Pelodiscus sinensis: one gene and its partner. The protein of the gene in region 2 purifies or fractionates together with the protein of the main gene of each other region. This does not show direct contact. Links are inferred from orthologs where the notes say so. Each region holds a gene or a part of one and is shown on either strand. Other genes may lie near its edges.

What was found.
Region 1: the proteins of ZYX (region 2) and ENAH purify together in Homo sapiens (co-immunoprecipitation; 4 studies listed by BioGRID and IntAct, counting the BioPlex papers as one, with this or other methods). This does not show direct contact. The link is inferred for Pelodiscus sinensis from reciprocal best matches to the Homo sapiens genes ZYX and ENAH.

The regions. Positions count from the first base shown.
Region 1 is NC_134713.1:156,791,698-156,802,186, forward strand, and holds the start of ENAH (protein enabled homolog), read right to left. Parts: upstream 4,027-10,489; 5' UTR 4,012-4,026; coding exon 3,968-4,011; intron 1-3,967. UniProt on the Homo sapiens protein: Ena/VASP proteins are actin-associated proteins involved in a range of processes dependent on cytoskeleton remodeling and cell polarity such as axon guidance and lamellipodial and filopodial dynamics in migrating cells.
Region 2 is NC_134711.1:137,759,578-137,769,526, reverse strand, and holds the start of ZYX (zyxin), read right to left. Parts: upstream 4,703-9,949; 5' UTR 4,579-4,702; intron 4,404-4,578; exon of another isoform or gene 4,268-4,403; intron 4,116-4,267; exon of another isoform or gene 3,949-4,115; intron 3,864-3,948; exon of another isoform or gene 3,711-3,863; intron 2,921-3,710; exon of another isoform or gene 2,827-2,920; intron 667-2,826; exon of another isoform or gene 273-666; intron 1-272. UniProt on the Homo sapiens protein: Adhesion plaque protein. Binds alpha-actinin and the CRP protein. Important for targeting TES and ENA/VASP family members to focal adhesions and for the formation of actin-rich structures.

The DNA of each region.
Region 1 (10,489 bases), on a different chromosome or scaffold from region 2:
AAAAAGCATTTGCTTGTCGAATAGTTGATTAGTCATTCACATCCCTAACCCCACCACTACCTCATTGCCTGGCAGCCGCCCAGGAATGCTGTGCCTATTTAAAAGGATTGTGGCTCCAGCCCCTGCTGGGGTAGTATCACAACCAGCAACCCTTTAAATAGCCACACTAACCCTGGGTAGCTGCCAGGCAATGTGTTACTGGTGAGGCTGGGAGGTGCAAACCCTTTGCTGTGTTTTTAATCCCAAGTTTCCAGCCCCAAACAACTCTGTGGGGAGGCTAGTCCCCAACCCCACGCCTTCCATGGGATGGGGGAAGAGAAGGAGCCAGGCTATGACCATGTACCAAAATTAATTAATGGCACCCCTGTAAAAATTACTGCCCACCCTTGTTTTAAACTCTGAGGGAAAATATGTGCTCATACCTACCTATGGTTCCTTCCACTTCATTGGGTTCATCTGTGCTCTACTTAAGGAACTAGCTATACTGTGTCAAAGTCACAAATAGGTCCTGACATAGCTGGACTCTTCCCAACACATCTCCCCCAATACCTTTTTCCTTACTTTTCTTGGCAGGAGTCTGTGTCTAAGGCTCCTTCAAGGTATACACAGGGTCTGAGGATGGTGGTACGGTCTTTGCCAAATATGGAATATAACTCATGGTAAGAATTCCAGATCTGCAACTTAGCACATCAATTGTTGGCCTCTCTGACCTTGCAGTATGTCTGACACAGTTTCTTCACTTTCACCTGACACTGCTACTGATCCCTGTCATACCTCTTCACCTGCATCTCCCGTTCAATCTTTTTGTAAATGTGAACTTCAACAGCTGGTCTGTAGCTGTGCTTTCAAAGCTTGTTCTCACCACAGACCCAAAAAATCCAATACCTCCAGCCTACTCCTAGCAGCAACACAATTAGTGAGTGGAACCAGCAGAGTTTGTTGTGCAGTTGAACAAGGGAGAGTTGCTACGTGTGTTCACCAATGTAGACAATCAGGAAAATGCATTTCCAAAAACAAGAGGGAGTGGCTTCCACTTTAAGACCCCTGGACAGTGGAATTCACAATTGTAACCAGCGGAAACTGCCAGGTATTTTGGGACAGTTGGAGAATCACCAGGGTTGACATAGTGCAGTACAAGTGTAGATACTGTTTGACCTGACTTCAGTAGGTCAACTATGGCTCAAGGCCATTCAAAAAGATGGTTTTACTGCATCACCTTAACAGGGTACTTATGTTAGCTAAAGACAAATCTGACTATGCACCAACAGGGTCAACACAAATTAACTTATGTTGACCTAACTTTGTAGTGTAGACCAAATCTCCGTGTGTCATGTAGGTGACCAGTGAGTGTGTATGCTGAATGAATAGCTTCTTCCTATTCTGAGGGAGGTTAAAAAAGGACTATACAGTTCTTCATGCCCTACAGTTCAAAGTGGAAGAGAGAAGAGCAGTATCAGCTAAATTTGACTTGCTTAAAAATACAGTCTTTCATCAGAATCAGGAGGAAGCAGCTTGCATGTATGCATGCTTCCAGGCTAATGCTGAATTATAAATCACCTTCCTGGACCCCACCACCCCCAAGTCATTTGTAATTTTTAGAGCTCTGCAATATGGCCATCTTAGTATGTTACAAGCAACCATCTATGAAGAATAGGAATTCTAGGTGATGTGCATTTCATTTACTTATTCTTGTGAAATAAAGTCTTATAAACCTACTATCAAAATAATTCATAGACTATCCAGAGACTTTGAGGAAAGTAGTTGTCAGATTCCATATAAGACAAAGAAAAAAAGTGCAAGAACTATTGCAACTGTCACAAATGAAGCACTAGCTAACAAAGTCTGCAATAGCATCAGACAAATGACTGTTAAACTACATCTATGCTATAAGCTAGAGATGCAATTCCCCATCTCTCACGCACATATACCTGTGCTAGCTTGATGAGAACTAGCACAAATATAAATAGTAGTGTAAGCCACACCAAGCATGTACCCACAGGGTTCAAGCGGGTTTATACTCGGTATGATACTTCTGCTACTGCAGCAACACTGTTATTTACACTTGTACTGGCTTTCATGATGTGTGTACACAAGCTGGCAATCACACCCCAAGCTCGTTGTGAAGACACAGCCTCAGTCTACTTAGAGCAAGGAGAGTAACCTGAACTGAATTCTTGTGCCCACCTGAAAAATCTGCCTACACTTCCAATTTTACTCTAGAGAAATGAGCAATTTAGTGATCAGGAACATGTACAGCAATATCGCTAGATTTAACTGACTGCTCTTCACTTTAAATATTTTGTCAAATATTTCAAAACCATATCTCATTTTCCATTCCAAATATGTCATGTGTCATGCAGGTAGTAAAAACTACAACAAAAGCCCAATTCTGAAATTCTACCCCATACAGCAAAGCACGCTGCAAAACCCTTATTATTCTCTCATTCCTGAATAACTGGCTCCTTCAGCTTGACAATAATAAACAATTTAGATTACCCTAACTTTATTACTGTCGTGAGTAGTGTCACTTCTAGGCATAACTGAACATTAAGGAACTGTAGGACAACTGAGATTCCCCAAGAATTCTTTATCCCAATTAAGCTAGCTAGCTTTGCTACCACAGGCTTGGAACTAGGTTCTCTTACCATTTCATTAATAAAGTAGTGAATCTTAATCCAGCCTTTAAAATGCCAAGAAAAACTTATCTGCCCAGACCCAAAGTCTGATTCACTGATTTTTGATGACTACTTAGTTAGAAAGAAATCATATATATTTACTCAAAGTAGAAATTTTCAGAAGGTAGTTTTAAAGAAATCTAAAATCAAAATAAAGATTAAATTGGGAACGAGGAAACCATATCACTTACTAAGAAATAGACATTAGAAAAAAAAATCAGATCAGCTACTTTTCCTATTTAGAAATTCAAATGCTATTAAAACTGAATAACCTATAAAGAGGGATATCAGACCCAGACATTTGTAAACAAAGAAAATATCATTAAACACTGAAATTTTGAATATTTTCTGGATTAATTGTACAAAGATGTCAGTCATTAACCCCTAAAAATGAGTAGTCCTGTGGCACCTTGGAGACTAACAAAAATATATAGAATCATGACTTTCGTGGGTAAAATGCACTTTATCGAATGAGTTGGAATGGAAAACTCATCTCGTGAAGTAGGTTTTATGCATGATTCTATATTTTTTTGTTAATCTCTAAGAAAGGTGTCACAGGATTACTCATTTTAAAGCTTAAGACTAACACGGCCGCTCAGACTTATCAACCCCTAAGATACAGATATTAACAGCCACTGTTTTTAGTATTCCAATTGCCAATGGAATCCCTAGTCACATCTAACTATTTCTGGACACCTATTATGAGATTAGTCCATTCACGTAACACTCGATTCAGAACACCACGTACTCTGTCAGTTACAATGCAAAAAGAGCAGACATGCAAAAATCAACTGTTTACCTATTCACCCTTAAAAAATAGTTTACTGAAGAGTTGGACTTCTGAAACAAAACTTTATACAGAAACTTGTCTATACTCCTGTGTAATTCAAGATTTAGAATTTAAATCCTGTGTTCAATAGCTAAGATCTAAATATCTCTTCTATAATTTTCAAGCATCTACAAACAACTGTTGATATTTAAATACATATCGTCATGTGCGCCCTATTACATTGCACAGATTTTAGAATTCAGGTGACAGCAAGCTGTATTTGATAAAGTAAAAACTGGGAAACTATTTGTTAACTTTCAACCACCTAGCTACTCCAAATATTGGAGCAGCCATTCATCAGTCAGACCAGCATTACTTCAGAATTCGGATGGCAGGGAAAGAATTTTCTGACCACTTGGCTGTATACTCCCTTATCCCACGCCTGAGAGCGCAAGCATGTAAAATGAAGTTATAGTTCAGAGCAATTTTCTGTACAAGAGTACACTGAAAAGATTATACTCACCTATTTTTTTTAATCAAACAACAAATGGTCTGGTAGCACTTCATAGACTAACAAAACATGTAGATAGTATTATGAGCTTTCGTGGTATAGCCCACTTCTTCAGATGACGGGAGTTTTGAGTTTAGGATGTGCAGACCCCAAAAAAATAGGGGAGAAGGGGAAGGAAAAAAAAGGAAGGGGGTGGAAAACAAGGGGCAGAGGGTATGAAAATATCAAAGGGAAAAACAAGTAGGCAGTGTGTCAATTGTATACATTATCTCTGTTTATTATAAATTAAGCTGTAAGTGGAAGAACCTCTCTCAGAACTACACCTAATTTATGATAATTAATAACTAAATATCTGTCTAGACTAGAGAAGATATTTTAAAAGGTGTTAGCAAAAAAATTTTTAACACAGGCAAACTTCCAAAACTTGTTAGCTATTTGACAAATAGCACATTTGTCACATTGCAAGCATTGATTCTTCCTGGCCCCCCATTCAAAGGGTTTACCTTGACCAGAAAAGATACAAACTTGCTTGTCTGTAAGACTGTGTAAAGACCAATTAACTAATGCCTTTCAAAGAACATATTTTAAAAATACAACCTTTTATGCTGACTTACACAAGCCCTAAGAGAATATGTTCACTGAAGCTTTGGCTACACATATTGTACTTAGTTAACTAAAGAGATTGAGAAATTGATTCTATTTAACACTGTCCAACACAAGGGGAACTTGCTGATTTAGCTTGTTAATAAACCAATTTAGTTACAACTATACAATTTGCATGGTTGGGCAAGGCTTAGATTTATGCAATTCCTGAAGAATTCTTGAGGTTTCCTTAAATCAGCAAGCATTCATAATGAACATTTAACTCCAGACAATTTCCTTTTAAAAACAGTTGCTACTTAGAATTTGAAGAGACATAGATTTATGAGATGTTTTGCTTATGCTTAGGCCCCGTGCGTACAAGTATACAGTTTAAAGTTCACTATACTATACAAACATTTAATATTAGACAGATTAAGGGGAGGTCTACATTAAACTTTTGTTGGTAATGCTGGAACTCTGGCAAAACTTAAACCAGCAAAAACTCTTAATGTGCATACATTTATACATGCATAAAAGTGTTTTTGCTAGAACACAAAAGTCTCTTTTGCCAGAATAGCTTATTTCATGCATTGAATCAGTACATGCTATAATGGCAAAAGAGGTATGTTTGCTAGTATAAACTGCACCTACATTAGGAGGGCTAGTTGATACAACTGTACCAACAAACTTTTTTTGAACCAGAGACATAGCTTAAGTAAAATGATTGCCTCAAAACTACAAATTCACCTCTAAAATATGCAAATAAGATATAAAAATTAAACTTTTTAAATTATCAAAACAGTAGAAAGTGCTATATACAAAATATGCAATTACTATGAATTAATTGAGTGTTTTAAAGTGTTGAGAAGCTAGCCCTGTGAAAGAACACTGTATGAATAAGAGAAAAGTTATTTAATATTACAAAATAGCTTTAAAAAGCAAATTTAATGCATAAGTAACTACAAACAAAATAAAATAAAGCCATCCCAGGAACAGAATGCATGGGGAGGAGGGGAGAGAGAGAAGAGAACCCAGTTCTTCATATGCCAAGGCTCCATGGTTAACATTTGCCCTTGGGGGAAAAAACCCTAAAAAAACTAAATAAAAACTTTAAAATAGAAACGTCTCACATTTGTGAAGAATTCCTAGACTTGACACTGTCACAGCAAAGGAATGTGTAGATTATATCACGTAAAGCTTACTGGTGCGTTCTAAAGGACGTGGCAACTGCTGGCCATTAATCTTTAACACAAAGAAGATTCAAGTCTAACTACAAAGACAGACAATATCTTAGGTAATTTACAGTCCCCCACCCCCCGACACACACACAGACAACTGTTTAACCTAATGGGCAGGCCTATGTGGATCATAGTAATGCGTCTCCAAATACATCACCATTCAGTCTACAAAGTCACATTTCTCACGAAGTCTTGCACCAATTCAGAGAGAGCTTATGGATACTGAACAGGCACGAAACGGCTGGAGCGGGTGGAAAAATAGTCGCCAAGCAAATACGATCACATAAAGGCTCAGTCTCAGACAAATGGACAAAGACTCCCCCCCCGAAAGGAATTAGCAACGTGCGGCTCGAGGTTTGCATCGGGACTAACACGCCCCAAGAACAATGTGTTCCCCGCTGCCGGGAGGGGCGGGGGGATGGAGGGTTGCCTCTATTGATTACACAGGGAAAAACCCAGCTGCTGCTGCAATGCAACACACACCGATAGAAGGGCAGCGCTTCTCCCTCCCCGCCTTGGACACGGGATCGCGAGCAGCCTCCAGCCCCGCAAAAAAAAAGACGCGCCAGGAGCTCACAAGCTGGCCCCACGCGCCGCCCAAATCACAGGGGCTCTCACGCCATGTACGGGCAGCCGCGCCCGGCCCGCTGGCTCCCCAAGGCGCCGGGCGGGCTGGCCATTATCCCCGCGGAGCCGGAGCCAGCCCTCCCCGCCCGGCGCCCGCACAACGGCCCCCAGGGCGCTTCCACAGAGCAACAAGCCAACGGCGCAGGCGGCAGAGAACCCGCCCCTCGAACAACGCCCCCCCCTTCCCCACAGACCCGCGCGCTTTCCCCGGCTACCTCCGCCTAGGCCCCCCCGCCGGGCCCTCCTCCCACCGGAGACCCCCACAGCGCCCCCCATGCGAACACCGCGGTGCGGAGGCCCCTCACCTCATGGTGCTGCCCGCGTCGGGGAGCCGCTCTCCCCCTTCCTCTCGAGCCGGTCCTTCAATGGGCAGCGAAGTCCCTGAGTGCGAGCGAGTTCTCCGTTCAGCCGCCGGGTCGGGCCAGACCCGACCACAGCGGGGGGTGAGGGGAACGAAGAGGAACAAACCAACTCCCGGAGTAGGGGGGAAGGGGCGGGAGCGCCTGCACCAGAGCGCGGGCGTCTCGAGACACCGGTTTGCTTGAGAGGGTGGGGGGCACGGCCGCACGCAGGGGACGCGGTGGGCGGAGCGGCGGGGCCACGCCCACTACTGGTCTGCATTCCGTGTGGATTCTGAAGTGGGGAGGAGCAGGGAATGAGCAGCAATTGTGGGAGAAATGAACCGGGGTTACTAGGCTTTGGCGACCCCTGGCGGGGAGTGGTGGCCCCTCTGCACACTTGTGCAGGGCTGGGGTTCCTGTGCATAGAAGCAATGCATACAGTAATGGACCCTCCAGTGGTTTCTCTACCAAACATAAGTTCAGATATTGTAGGGGATTATTTAGCCTGTCTACTTATTGTTCAAACCCCAGGTGATATCTCTGCACAACGGCATTGCATAAACTGTTGAATGTTACAGTCTCCTGTACACAGCACTGCATTCATTATTGATGAGCAGTGCAGTGGTTTTTCTACATGTTTGTATTCCATGCACTGATTGCAGATGATACCAAGCTGGGAGAGGTTGCAAGTGCTTTGCAGGATAGGGTCATGATTCAAAATGATCTGAACAAACCAGAGAAATGGTCAGAGGTAAATAGGATGAAGTTTAATAAGGACAAATGAAAACTACTCCACTTAGGAAGGCACAATCAGTTTCACACATACAGACTGGGAAGTGACTGTCTAAGGAGGAGTACTGGAGAAAGGGCTCACCAGTCATAATGGACCACAAGCTAATTATAAGTCAACAGCATGACACTGTTGCAAAAAAGCAAACCTGATTCTGAGATGCATTAACCGGGTTGTTGTGAGAAAGACCTGAGACATAATTATTCCACTGTACTCTGCACTGGTTAGGCCTCATTTGGAGTATTGTGTCAAGTTCTGGGCACCACATTTGAAGAAAGATGTGGAAAAATTGGAGCGGATCCAGAAAAGAGCAATAAAAATGTTAAAGGTCTGGAAAATATGATGTATGAGGGAAGACTGAAAGAATTAGGTTTGTTTAGTTTGGAAAATAGAAAACAGAGGGGACACGATAGAAGTTTTCAAGTACCTAAAAGGGTGTTACAAGGAGGAAAAAAATATGTTCTCATTGACCTCTGATGATAGGACAAGAAGCAATGGTCTTAAATTGCAGCAAGGGAGGTTTAAGTTGGACATTAGGAAGTTGTTCCTAACTGTCAGGTTGGTTAAGCAATGGAATAAATTGCCTCAGGAGGTTGTAGAATCTCCATATTTAAGAGAAGGTTGGGACGGACATCTATTAGAGATAATCTAGACGGTGCTTGGTCCTGCAGTGAGGGCAGGAGCCTGGACTTGATGACCTCTCCAGGTCCCTTCAAGTTCTAGTATTCTATGATTCCTGTGGTTATTCCCTTGTACACGTGCCCTGCAATACAAATGATCCATGTTCCAATTTTTCTTACACACACACACACATTATAATTCATTATTCCATTGGTCCTTATGAATGTGCAGTATGCATCCACAGAATGTACCCCTGAATACTGATGAATTTTTTTTGGTGGGTTCTGGATACATTAAGCCCACTTTTCCTCTGTGGCCTCTTTATGACATCTTTGCTAAAGCAAAGCACCAATAAGATAAGTGAATCAGTAATCTGGTACGTTCCGGGATAATATAGAGCTCTCTAGCCGGATGTATCTCCTCTGGCAAAAAAACCCAAGTTAGAGGCACGGCAGGGTCATGAGTCAGGGGGAGCATTTAGCTATTCTCAATTGAGCCAATACCTGTTGTAGAATCATTACAGTTCAATGTAAATTAGAACAGCCCTCAGACAATGACTAGAGCAATCTTGGGATCTCTTCCATTTCTTCTGAGGTGCAATCAAGCTTAGCTCATCCACAACTAAGAATCAGAATAATTTCAATTCCCTATCCCCTGAAATCCATAGAATTGGGTTTTTTTGTTTGTTTGTTTTTTTCATATCCCAGCTGACATAAGGTCTTAGGAAAAATGGAGGGGAATAAATTACATTTAGTTAGTCTTCCCCTATGAGTCCCCTCGGTGGCAACCAAATTACTTTGCAAGCCCCCTTAGACTGGTTCAATGAAATCTGCAAAGTCTTGCATATATCACTAGTATTACACATGTCACTATTGGGGTTGCCAACCTGTGAAGACCTGAAGTCTCAAGCAACTAAAGATTAATCTTTAATTAAAGATATTCTTGGAAATTTCATCAAATTATATATCCAAAGTTGGAATCCTAGTCACTATGCACAATTCTATCCTCACTGTATCCACTTAGATCTTGATTCATCTACCTTTTCTTAAAACAAGTAATCCCTTACTCCACAAGGGTATGTCTACACTACCCTCCTAGTTCGAACTAGGAAGGTAATGTAGGCATACCGCACTTGCAAATGAAGCCCGGGATTTGAATTTCCCGGGCTTCATTTGCATAAACTGGGCGCCGCCATTTTTAAATCCCTGCTCGTTCGAACCCCGTGCCGCGCGGCTACACGTGACACGAACTAGGTAGTTCGGACTAGGCTTCCTAGTCCGAACTACCGTTACTCCTCATTCCACGAGGAGTAACGGTAGTTCGGACTAGGAAACCTAGTCCGAACTACCTAGTTCGTGCCGCGTGTAGCCGCGCGGCACGGGGTTCGAACGAGCAGGGATTTAAAAATGGCGGCGCCCAGTTTATGCAAATGAAGCCCGGGAAATTCAAATCCCGGGCTTCATTTGCAAGTGCGGTATGCCTACATTACCCCGCTAGTTCGTACTAGCGGGGTAGTGTAGACATACCCCAAGATACTTAGTCCCACATGCCATATAAGTAAAGTTGTTGAATTGGGCCCTTAATTTTTAGGCATGTATACAATCAGGGCAGTCTACTAAATTAGCTCTACAAAGTTAAATTACTCTGTGCTTTTGCAATTCTTCTAATTACCTTTCTATGTTCCCATGAGCATAAGGTACAGGACGTGATTTTAGAAAAAAAATAGGAATATTATTTCAACCACATGAACATTTGCTGTTACATCTTTCAGTAACCACATGTCCGTACTAAAAACAGATTTATATTTTGCTTTTAATTCTCCCACTGGATCAAAAACATGTTACACAGAACTTCAATCAATTTTTGTTCAGCCAATTTCTGTCAATCACTGAATACCTAGTCTCTCCTATCTCAAGTATCTACAGACATATTAATACCTTTACTGCTTTCCAGTCATAGGGGATGGGGATGGGGTTCCCTCCGCCTTCAAAAAGTATCATACCAGTTCCTCTAATTTTTACATTAGAAAAAATATAGAAGAAGCATTTATTTAAAAATTACAGATTCCACAGTTACTCTATTTATTTATGTTCTCATTTTCACATAATAAATATTTACTTTAATCCCCTTGAAAGCATTTAAAGTGCATTTATTTCACATTATACAGCCATCTCTTCACTGGACAGCACCATTTCTTAAACAGAAAATTCACATTCAAATAACTAATTCAGAGGTAGAGTAAGGAGGGAAAGTAAGAGGGAGATGTTTGTCTCCTTGATATATTGACCATCCAAGTATCAAATAATCCATCTTGACAGGCAGGTAACTTTGGCTA
Region 2 (9,949 bases):
GCAGATAGAAGGACAAAGCAGGGATCAATTCAGGAGAGAACTGCAGGAGAAGCCAGCCTTCTGCACACAGCTCAGATGCCCACACCTCACACTGGAACCTCCCCTTCTCCCCCCTCCAGAAGCCGCTTTAGCATCTCTCAGCTCACCCCTCCCCCCCATGTCCTCCTGCATCCTCCAGCCCATGAGAGGCATGGCACCACGGCATCCCTGCTAACTCTGTCCATCTAGCGCTCCAGACCTCTCCTCCTGCAGCCCCGCTCCTGCCCTTTTACCTGCAAACCCCCAGCCCTCTCGGCTCAGCGGGGAAGCTCCAGCAGCTGCAGCACCAGCAGAACAAAGGGAAGGCTGGGCGATTCCATAGTGTCACACATTCCTCAGCCAGGCCCTGCGACTCACTGTCCTTTCTGTCTTGCTGTCCCTTCCTGTCATTGTGGCAATGGGCAAGGACTCCTACAGCCGCCTCACTGGCTACAAAGGCTGCCGGCCCTGCCTCCACCCCTTCCTGCAGGAGGCGGCTCCTGGATCCAGCCAGCCTCCCTGACACATTGCTAGAGCCATTCCCTCCCAGCCCCTGCTGTGTAGCTGCTGCTCTAAAGCCAGCACATCAAGCTTGCTGTGCTGTACAGCGCTTTCCTGTTTGCCCCAGGACATGCTCACAGCTCCATCCTGCCAATGGTACCTCACTGCAGAGAGAACTGCCTATTTCCCATCCCAGTCATGTCCTGAAAAACAAGTTCTCCGCGGAAACTCCTTCCCCATCTCCCCTCCCGCCAGGGATCAATGCCAGATTTGCCCTTAGGATATTTCCAAACTCACAACATCCAGGAGCTATTGGCCATCTCCTGATAAGAGCCCACATTGCTGAGATTTTCCCCTATGCTGGTACCCAGCCCAGAGCGCTTGCCTGCACTAAGCAGCTTGTCATGCTGACCACACACAATAATGCTCCCATGGCACACAGGGTAAGTATGCCAGCATGCAGAGTTAGTTTGTTTTGAACAACATTCTTCTACAGTGCCTGCCTCTGCACAGTCAGCATGGATGAGGATGGGCTGCCTCACTGGAGTGGTTAGAGCAAACAGCCCTGTGACAGTTATTCCACAGTACTGCTATCACTAGGGCCACAAACAAGTTCTCCAAGTTGTAAAGTACCTGTGAGATCAAGATAATTTGCCTTAGTTGTTATTTTGGTAGATCCCTACAAATTCACAGATATCTGCATTCATGGATAGGGGTAGCTGCAGATCATTTTTGCAGATATGGATGCTGGTACACATTTTGTATCTAGAGCCCTGCAAATTAACTACTTTATATTTGCTGATCATTTCTGCATATCCCTGCAGGGCTGTGCGTGTTGAAATAATCCTCACCCACCCTCCCCTACCATAGCCCCAGAGAACTCTCTCATATCCAACTGAAGGGCAGGTTAGGGAAGAAGGGTCATCAGCATAGACCACAAGATGCTTCCCCCCTTCCCCAGGTCAGTCCATAAGGATGCTGAAGAGCAGGTTACCAAATTTTAAGCCAAAAAATGGCCTTATTATTGTGACCTGCATAACAGACCATCCTCCCTCACACAGTGATCCTGCTTCTGTTGGAGCTAAAGCATGTCATTTTGAAAGATATCCAGTCTTCATTTAAAAACTAAGTGATAGCAAACGCACTATGCCCTTGGTAAACTGTTCAAATAGTTAATCACTAGCCATTGAATCTTCTTATGCCTGTACCTGCTTGTTTCAAGAAACTGCCATTAGAATCTTTTCCTGTGTAGGTACTTGAAGATCACAGCCTAGTCTCCACATGATCACACTTTATAATGGAGCTGGTCTTTAGAGAGATGGAGTATGGGACATCAGCTGCTTCATGCAGATACGTTAGGGTCATTGCCAGCAGCTGTTCCCATCTCCCTGACCCCAGAGCAGCCTCCTTCCCCCTCCTTCCAATACACATACATTTATCTAGGCCAAAGCTTCTTTCTCCTCACAGCAGCTTTCCACCTGCAGCTGCCCCTGCCTGTCCCAAGTTCTGCTTAAAAAGCAGCAGGAAGGCATCTCTTCTGTTTGTCCACCAGTCACCCTATTAGAAGGAAGGGAGTATGGAGCTGCCATGGATCGAAGCCTTCCTAGCATGCCTTTAGACTGATCCACCTCCTCTATGGTCTCCCCACAGTTCTACTATGGTGTACAATTACTGAGGGAATGCCACTTAGGCAGGCCTGAGCCCGATTTAGTTATCAAGCCTCCCACAAAGGAAGAGATGTTCTGACATCTACAATAATCAGAAGATTCCACACAGCTGTAGAGCAGGGCTATTGAACATGTAGCCTGCACTGTGGTTTGGGTTTACATGGGGCTCAACACACAGCCGGTGGTTGGAATCCTTTTAACATGCCTTCCACTGGGAACACGCGCCATAGTGGCGAGATGTCTCCCAGGAGGGGTAAGCATAGAAAGATGCAAACGGATGGGCTGGCTGGAACAGACAGGTACAGGGTGTCAGTGTTTCTAGCCCCCAGGGAGGAGGTGCAGGGAGCACTGGGGCATTTTGGGAAAGAAGCTATTTGCATATATATTTGCATGTATATGCAACCATGCTTAAGTTGCATTCCTCAGCATGTGCTGTGAGTACCATTGGGGCCCCCAGGGCATCCAAAGTTGAGTAGCCCTGGGCTAGAGGAAGGTTGCACCAAAGCCAGAAATTGAGATTTAGAGCCTTTCATTGGCTATAGCTGCACTGGTTACATGAAAGCAATCTCTTAAGGCCATCACAGATTGCTCTATTTTCGATGTAAGTCCTGACCTAAGCCATACTTACTGGGTGACATACCTGGCTGGGTTGATTTAGTTGGAATTGGTCCTGCCTTGCTTGGGTAGGGGGGTGGACTTTATGACCTCCTGAAGTCTCTTCCAGCTCTATGATTCTATGAAAGGGAACCAACCAATTCTCAGTCTCAGGTGTGTGACCCCAGGACCTGAACTTCACTGGCCAATCTTCACTGTACCCCACCCAGGAGCAGAGAATGGAAAGCAAAGGCAGGGACCTACCCCAATGTTCTCCAAAATGATTCCTTCCCTAGGGAGGATCCCAGCTCAGAGCAAGCAGGCAGTATTTGGGTGGGAGGGGGCTTTTGTTTCATAATCCAGTAACTCTGGCATGAAGTCACCCACCTCCTCCAAATGAAAAATGAAGGGGATGTGCTATTAAAATATGAAGTGAAAGAAGCTGATTTACTTCAGTTTTTTTTTGGGGGGGGGGTGTTCTTTTTTCCCCCAGTTAAACAGAGTCACATGTGTTTCCACCCCATCAAACTCTGGTTAATCCTGCAAAGTTTGCTTGGATAGCAAAAAAACAAACACACCACGCACAAACAAACAAAAAAACCCACCCTGCGTCCCTGCAACAGCAAAGTCCTTTCTTTTTCAAGCAACTGGTGTTTCTCCACTCAATCTCCACCCCACCCCCACCCATTCCTTTGCCTAATGACTCCTACTTCCCCTTCCCCACCAGAAAGTTCATTTCCAGGCATGTAAATTGTAGTCAGGGATTGGACCGGGGAAAGGGGAACTTTCAAAGCCAGGCCTGGAGTGAATCTGTAGCAGTCACATAACTGCACACCCGCGTCTCCCCGTTCCTCGCTACACAGCACGGCAAGAAAGAAACATGCAGACATATTGCAAGCGCCAGACAGTCACAAATTTGCAGGCACTCACCTCCCGTCTCCTCAGATCTCCTCCCCGGCAGGGCAGAGGAGACATGAAGGAGTCTCGAAAAGTTTCGGATTCTTTCCCCACCCAAACATCTGGAAAAAGGCTCTAGGGGTCTCACTCACACTGCAGCGTCTCGACTCGGCAGCGCGCCCTCCCCGCCCCCGCGGGCTGCTAGTTTTACAAAGGGAAGGAGGCGATTTCTTAGGTATTTCATTTCCACGGGGCGGCTGGGGGCACTTACCCGCCAGCCCAGGGTTGGCAACTTAGTCAGGCTTTCAAAAGTATGAGGCTCCCCCGGAAAAGGAGACAGAGACGCCAAGTCCATAAAGTTAACGCTAACTAGAGCGGCCCAAGCTGTGCCACCAGCACCGACCGCGCACACAAGAGCAGGTTCAGCCTCGCAGCCCCAGGACGTGGGGCAGGAAATTAGAGGGAGGGGAGCTTTCCTGCTGCCAAAAAACCGCAGTTAGTTTTTGAGCATAAAGTTGCAATAAAACTAGGAGGCAACGAGCTTCAGCCGGGACTTTTGCCCAAAGGAAGCGGGAGGAGAGGGGACTCACCTCTGGGGAGGAGCAGGCTGGGTCTCTTGGACTAAAAGTTTGTAGCTGCCTGTAAAGTCTCTAGTGCTGCTAGCACGCAAGCCCAGCCCCACTCTGCCCTCCCAGCGCCTGGGCGTGCCGCGCTCTGCCCCCTGCACAGCGATCAGAACCAGCTTCGGTTGCTTGTCTGCCAAATCGGGAGGGGGAAGGACTTGGAGGAGGGGGGACTACAGAGCCCAGGACTTCCTAGCATCTCGCAAAAAGGCCTCGCCCAAGCAAAGCTGTGTGACCATAAAAGGAGAGAGGCTGCGCGAACAGCTGAGCTCACTCACCAGGGAATGTGGCAATGAGGTAAGAGGAGGAGGAGGATGAATACACTAGACAGGACTGTTGAGAGACGAGTGGGGGAGAACAGCAACGCTCTCCCTCTTACAACCAGCTCTCGTTGCCCTTCCCCCTGTGTTGTGAGGGGAGGGAGGTGTCAGCTTTCCCTCCTATCGCTGCTATGGGAGGCCTGTATTTCATACCCTCCCTGCTTTCCTTCCACTCCTGGATTCCCTATTTCCCCCGAGATTTGCCGGCCTTGCGGCTCAGTCTTGATTCCCAGCCCCTTCCACTCCACTCCTGTCTTCCCTTCAGCTTAGGCAAAGCCCCTCAGTTAGGCGCCCCCGCACGCTTGTGTTTTATCTCTTGCCCCAGCGCTGGGTTGCCTCCGCCTTCCCCAACTTTTTCAGCAACTGGTGTTTCCAGGCTTAACCTCCACCCCATTCCTTAACCTGGTGACCCCCCACCAGTGACTTCATTTCCAGTCTCAACCACTGCACGTAAGCAGAGGCCCGGCAGCTCTTGTGAGTCAGGAGGCAGGGTCCCTCTGGCCCCTTCCCTAGCCCCTCCCCAAGCAACCAGCTGCAAGAGCATCTGACTCTGACTTTTCCAATCCTACAGACGCTGTTAAAAAACAAACCAGCAATACTGCAAGGAATGTAGTTCCTCATGTATTCAGAACCAGACAGGAGGTGGGGGCACCTGAACAACCCACTTAGCTCCCTGGGCACAGCCTCCTCCAGACCCAAGTGTCCTGGCACAGCTCTGTTGATGCCCCTTATCCTTAGATAGCCATGTCACTGGCTATTCTAGTCTTGTGCTTTGCACATTGTACTGCTGACCTGCAAGATCCACATTGTTCCCAAACCATTCCAGCATTATCTATTAGGTTTTGTTTTCAGTCTGAACATGGATGGTGTGAGTGCTCAATGGTGCACCTCACCCAGAGGGTCTGGTCCCTGCACGAAGGAGTTTACTATTGAAATTCTCCATCTTTGGTTTTCTTTTATTCTCTTTCCCTGGGTCCTTTTTTGCAGGGCAGCCTCCCTAAGCTTATTTGTTCCAAGTCTGGAGCCAAGGGGGAATTCCTGTTCTTTGCATAAACACCATGCTCTCTCCTTGAAATCTGGCAGTAATACTGGGCTTTCTGCCCCCTATTGTTGCTAAATTTCCAAGGGATTAATCTTTGTCATTTAATCTTTGCAATGCTCAGAGAATTTAGGATTTTTTTACATTGAGGTATTTATCTAGCAGCAACATTGGTGTAACTACCACAGAGCATGCCTCTAGTATCACATGGGGCTTGCACTGGTGAAGCTGGTCTGACCTGAGAGACACTAGTTCAAATCCCAGTTTATGCTGATACAGTGTGTCTGAAGTTGAACTAGAGATCTGTACTGATGCAGCTATGTTGATGTAGCTACATCTGAATCTGGAAACCCTAGAAGAAACAAACCCTTAATTGTATACTAGGACCCCTCCTGCTTTCTACGCTCACCAACCTCCTCCGCCTTCCCAGAACACCTGTGAGGGGGGAGGCCGTGCAGCTCTCTCTTGTTCACTGGTGCTCCCCTGGTCCCTGGGGGGAGGGAGGGAAGAGGCTGTGGGGCTCTTGCCCCCCTGAACACCAGGTAGGGGGGCGAGGCCATGCAGCTCCTGCCCATCCTAGGAACACCAGGAAGAGAGGAGGCTACAGGGCTTCTGCCCTGCCCCGCCCCACCCCCCTACCCTCCCCCCAGGACTGAGGAAGCCACATGGCTCCGGCCCTGCCCCCCGGAGCACTGGGGAGGCCACATGGCTCCTGCTCCACTCCCCCCCCCCCCTTGGAGCACTGAGGAGGCTGCATGGTTGCTTGCCCCAGTACTGGGGAGGCCGTGTGATTCCTGCCTGTCCCCCAGAACACCAGGGAGTCAGGGAGGTAGGAAGGACTCCGGGCGGCAGGATGCAGAGTGATGTGCTGATGTTGCTCTGTTATCCTTCAGGAAACGTGTTTTTTATATAGAGAGATCTCTTGTGAAACGTTATGGAGCCTTGAGCAAATCGCTACACTTCTGTATGCCTCAATTTTCCTGTCTGTGAAATGGGACTAACCATATTGACTTATTTCATATGCAAGTGATTGAATTTTGTTGTTATGATGCAATAAATGCAGACATGTCAGGAATCCCAGTTACAATCTGGTTGTCCCCAGACACAGTTTGGCTACGTCTACACTGGCCCCTTTTCTGAAAGGGGCATGCTAATTTTCAACTTCAGAATAGGGAAATCCGCGGGGGATTTAAATATCCCCCGCGGGATTTAAATAAAGATGTCTGCCGCTTTTTTCCGGCTTGGGGAAAAGCCGGAAAAAAGCATCTAGACTGGCCCGATCCTCCGGAATAAAGCCCTATTCAAAGTAGGAATAAGAGATCCTCCGGAATAGGGCTTTATTCCGGAGGATCGGGCCAGTCTAGACGCTTTTTTCCGGCTTTTCCCCAAGCCGGAAAAAAGCAGCGGACATCTTTATTTAAATCCCGCGGGGGATATTTAAATCCCCCGCGGATTTCCCTATTCTGAAATTGAAAATTAGCATGCCCCTTTCGGAAAAGGGGCCAGTGTAGACGTAGCCTTCATGTACCACATGATTTTGTAGGATGTATGAACTGGAGTCGTGCTGTGCTGGAACATCACATGGCTTTTGCATTATTTGGATCATACCTATGATACCAAAAGTTTCAACTTAGATCTCCTAACACTCTTATATCTAGTATGGATGGACAATCTGTGCTTCATGTTGGGGTATTGTGGTCAGGCCACATCCTTACACACACTATTCCCTCTTAAACACAGTGCCCCAAAAGGAAAAGCACACCAATTTAGAGAATCTGTCCACTTCACCAACCATCTGCAGGCTTATGTCACTGGGCCTGGGAAAGCACCACACACTGGCATCAGTCTGGACTCTGAGAAAACAGTCCACCCTGCTGAGACAGTCTTGGGCTGTGGTAGTTTCTAACAAAAGCCATTACAAAAGGGTCTCATGAAACACATAATTGTTTCAGAGATTTCCTGTCAGCTACTTGGGTTGGCACTAGACAGACCTAGCTATGGCAACAGAGTTCCAGCCCCAGCTGCTCTGACTGCAAAAGCATAGACCTTAGTGTGGTCTAGTAGTCGGTACAATAGGGCACTGGCCAAAGGCTCGGGAAATATGAATTCTATTACTGGCTTTGCTGGTAACCGATTTTAAGCATAATACTTTCCTTTTGTCTTCCACCCTTTATCTCTTATGCTTAGACTCAGCTCTTCGGGGCCAGGAGGACTGCCTTGGACTATGTACCATACTTAGCACAATGGGGCCATAATCTCTTGGTTCTCAACCCCGTACTGGGATATAAGTAATCTGTATACAGGCAGTCCCCGGGTTACGTACAAGATAGGGACTGTAGGTTTGTTCTTAAGTTGAATTTGTATGTAAGTCGGAACTGGCTCCAGGTTCAGCCGCTGCTGAAACTGATCAGCGGCTGACTACAGGAAGCCCTAGGCAGAGTTGCTCTGCCCCCTGCTTCCTGGAATTAGCCGCTGATCAGTTTCAACAGCGGCTGAATCTGGACTCCTGGGACAGAACAGCTGGGGCACTGCCGGGTAGGTCCCCGCAGGACCAACCCGGCAGCACCCCAGCTGCTCTACCCCAGGCATCCCGCAACAAAAGCCTGGTCTGCTGGGGGGGGGGTGCACTAGCTGCGCCCCCTCGCCTCCAGCAGACCAGGGAGACCCGAGCAAAGCCGCGGAGGCGCAGAGGTCACGCCACCTCTGCGGCTTTGCTCCTGTCTCCCTGCTGTGCTGGGGGACTCTTCCCCCCGCCCCAGCACAGCAGGGAGACAGGAGCAAAGCCACAGAGGCGGGGGACCCCGCCGCCTCTGCGGCTTTGCTCGGGTCTCCCTGCTATGCTGGGGAGTCCCCCCCAGTACACCAGGGAGACCCGGAGCAGCTTTTCTCGCCCTGGTGGCGGGACGGCTGCGCTCTGGGTGGTCCCGCCGCCCGCGAGCTCCGGGGCGAGAAAAGCCCCGTTCGTAAGTGCGGATCCGACATAAGTCGGATCCGCGTAAGTCGGGGACTGCCTGTAATACGATTCCAGGAATGTTGAGCCTAAAATGTTTATTGAGTCCCTGTGAAGTTATAGAAGCAACTACAGGCATAGTTGAGATTTCCCTTTGTTCAGAATATAGACAACGCCAATCATTACTGGGTTTTGGAGTCTCTTATCTTATTTTTAAATTAGCCATTTTGCCTTTATGAATTACATCTGTGCAGTGTACATTGCAGTAAGATATGTTTCTATGCCATGTTGAATGTCCTATGCCATTTTTGTTTGCGATGTTTTTGTAGCCATGTTGGTCCTGGATATTAGAGAAACAAAGTGGGTGAGGTAATAACTTTTATCGGATCAACTTCCATTAGTAAGAAAGACAAGCTTTGGAGCTTACACAGAACTCTTTTTCAGGTCTGAGAAACTCCAGGTGTCATTGCTAAATATATGATTGAATAGATCACTTGGCATAAGTAGTTTTGACATATATTTCAAGGGACCATTCAAGGTGAAGTGGTCTATTAACATCTCTCCAGTCAGAGGGAGGAAAGGAAGTGGAAGGAGGGTTTCAGATTATTATAATAAGATATGTGCCTCTATTCAGTTCATGATATTTAGTGTCTAGCAAAGTTATGAATGTAAGCTTCCAAACTCATCTTTTGAAAGTGTTGTGTAAATTTCCTTTGAGACTGAGGACTACTGGCAGCATGTATTGTAGGCAGGGGGAGGCTGTGTCTCCCCAAACAGCCAAATGTGGCCCCACCCACACTGCACTCCCAGGCCGGGTTCCCTTGTGCCAGTGCTCTGCCCTGGCTGGGGATGACAGGCCTGTCTCACACAGAAACTCAGGGCAGCTAGTGTTGGGGCCACCCTCTACAGGTGGTGCTCAGACCATGCTGCCCCATCCAGCAGCCCTATGCTATCCAGCAGCCCAGAGTACTGGGGCCTTGCCTCCTGGCTGTCCAGTGCTGGGGCTGGGAACTGGGGGGGGGAGGGGTGTTCTGATAAGCTTCATGAAGAATAGGAATGCTTATGAATATGACATAACTGAAAATGCTTTATGCAAAATGCCTTGTGTAAGGTATCATGTATTGGAAGGTATCATTGGAAAGCTTGTAATATACTGAAATATGGAGCATAAACTGGTGTTATCAAAGTAGTCATGCTAGGTGAGGGCCATTAATGCTACTTCAGGATCGTGATGGCCATTGTTCCGGCAAAGCTGCGTGCCTGCGCGGCCGCACACAAACTTCTCTTCTCCTGCCCACCTCATTTACAGAGCCATGCAGCAGCACTCACCTTCCTGCTGG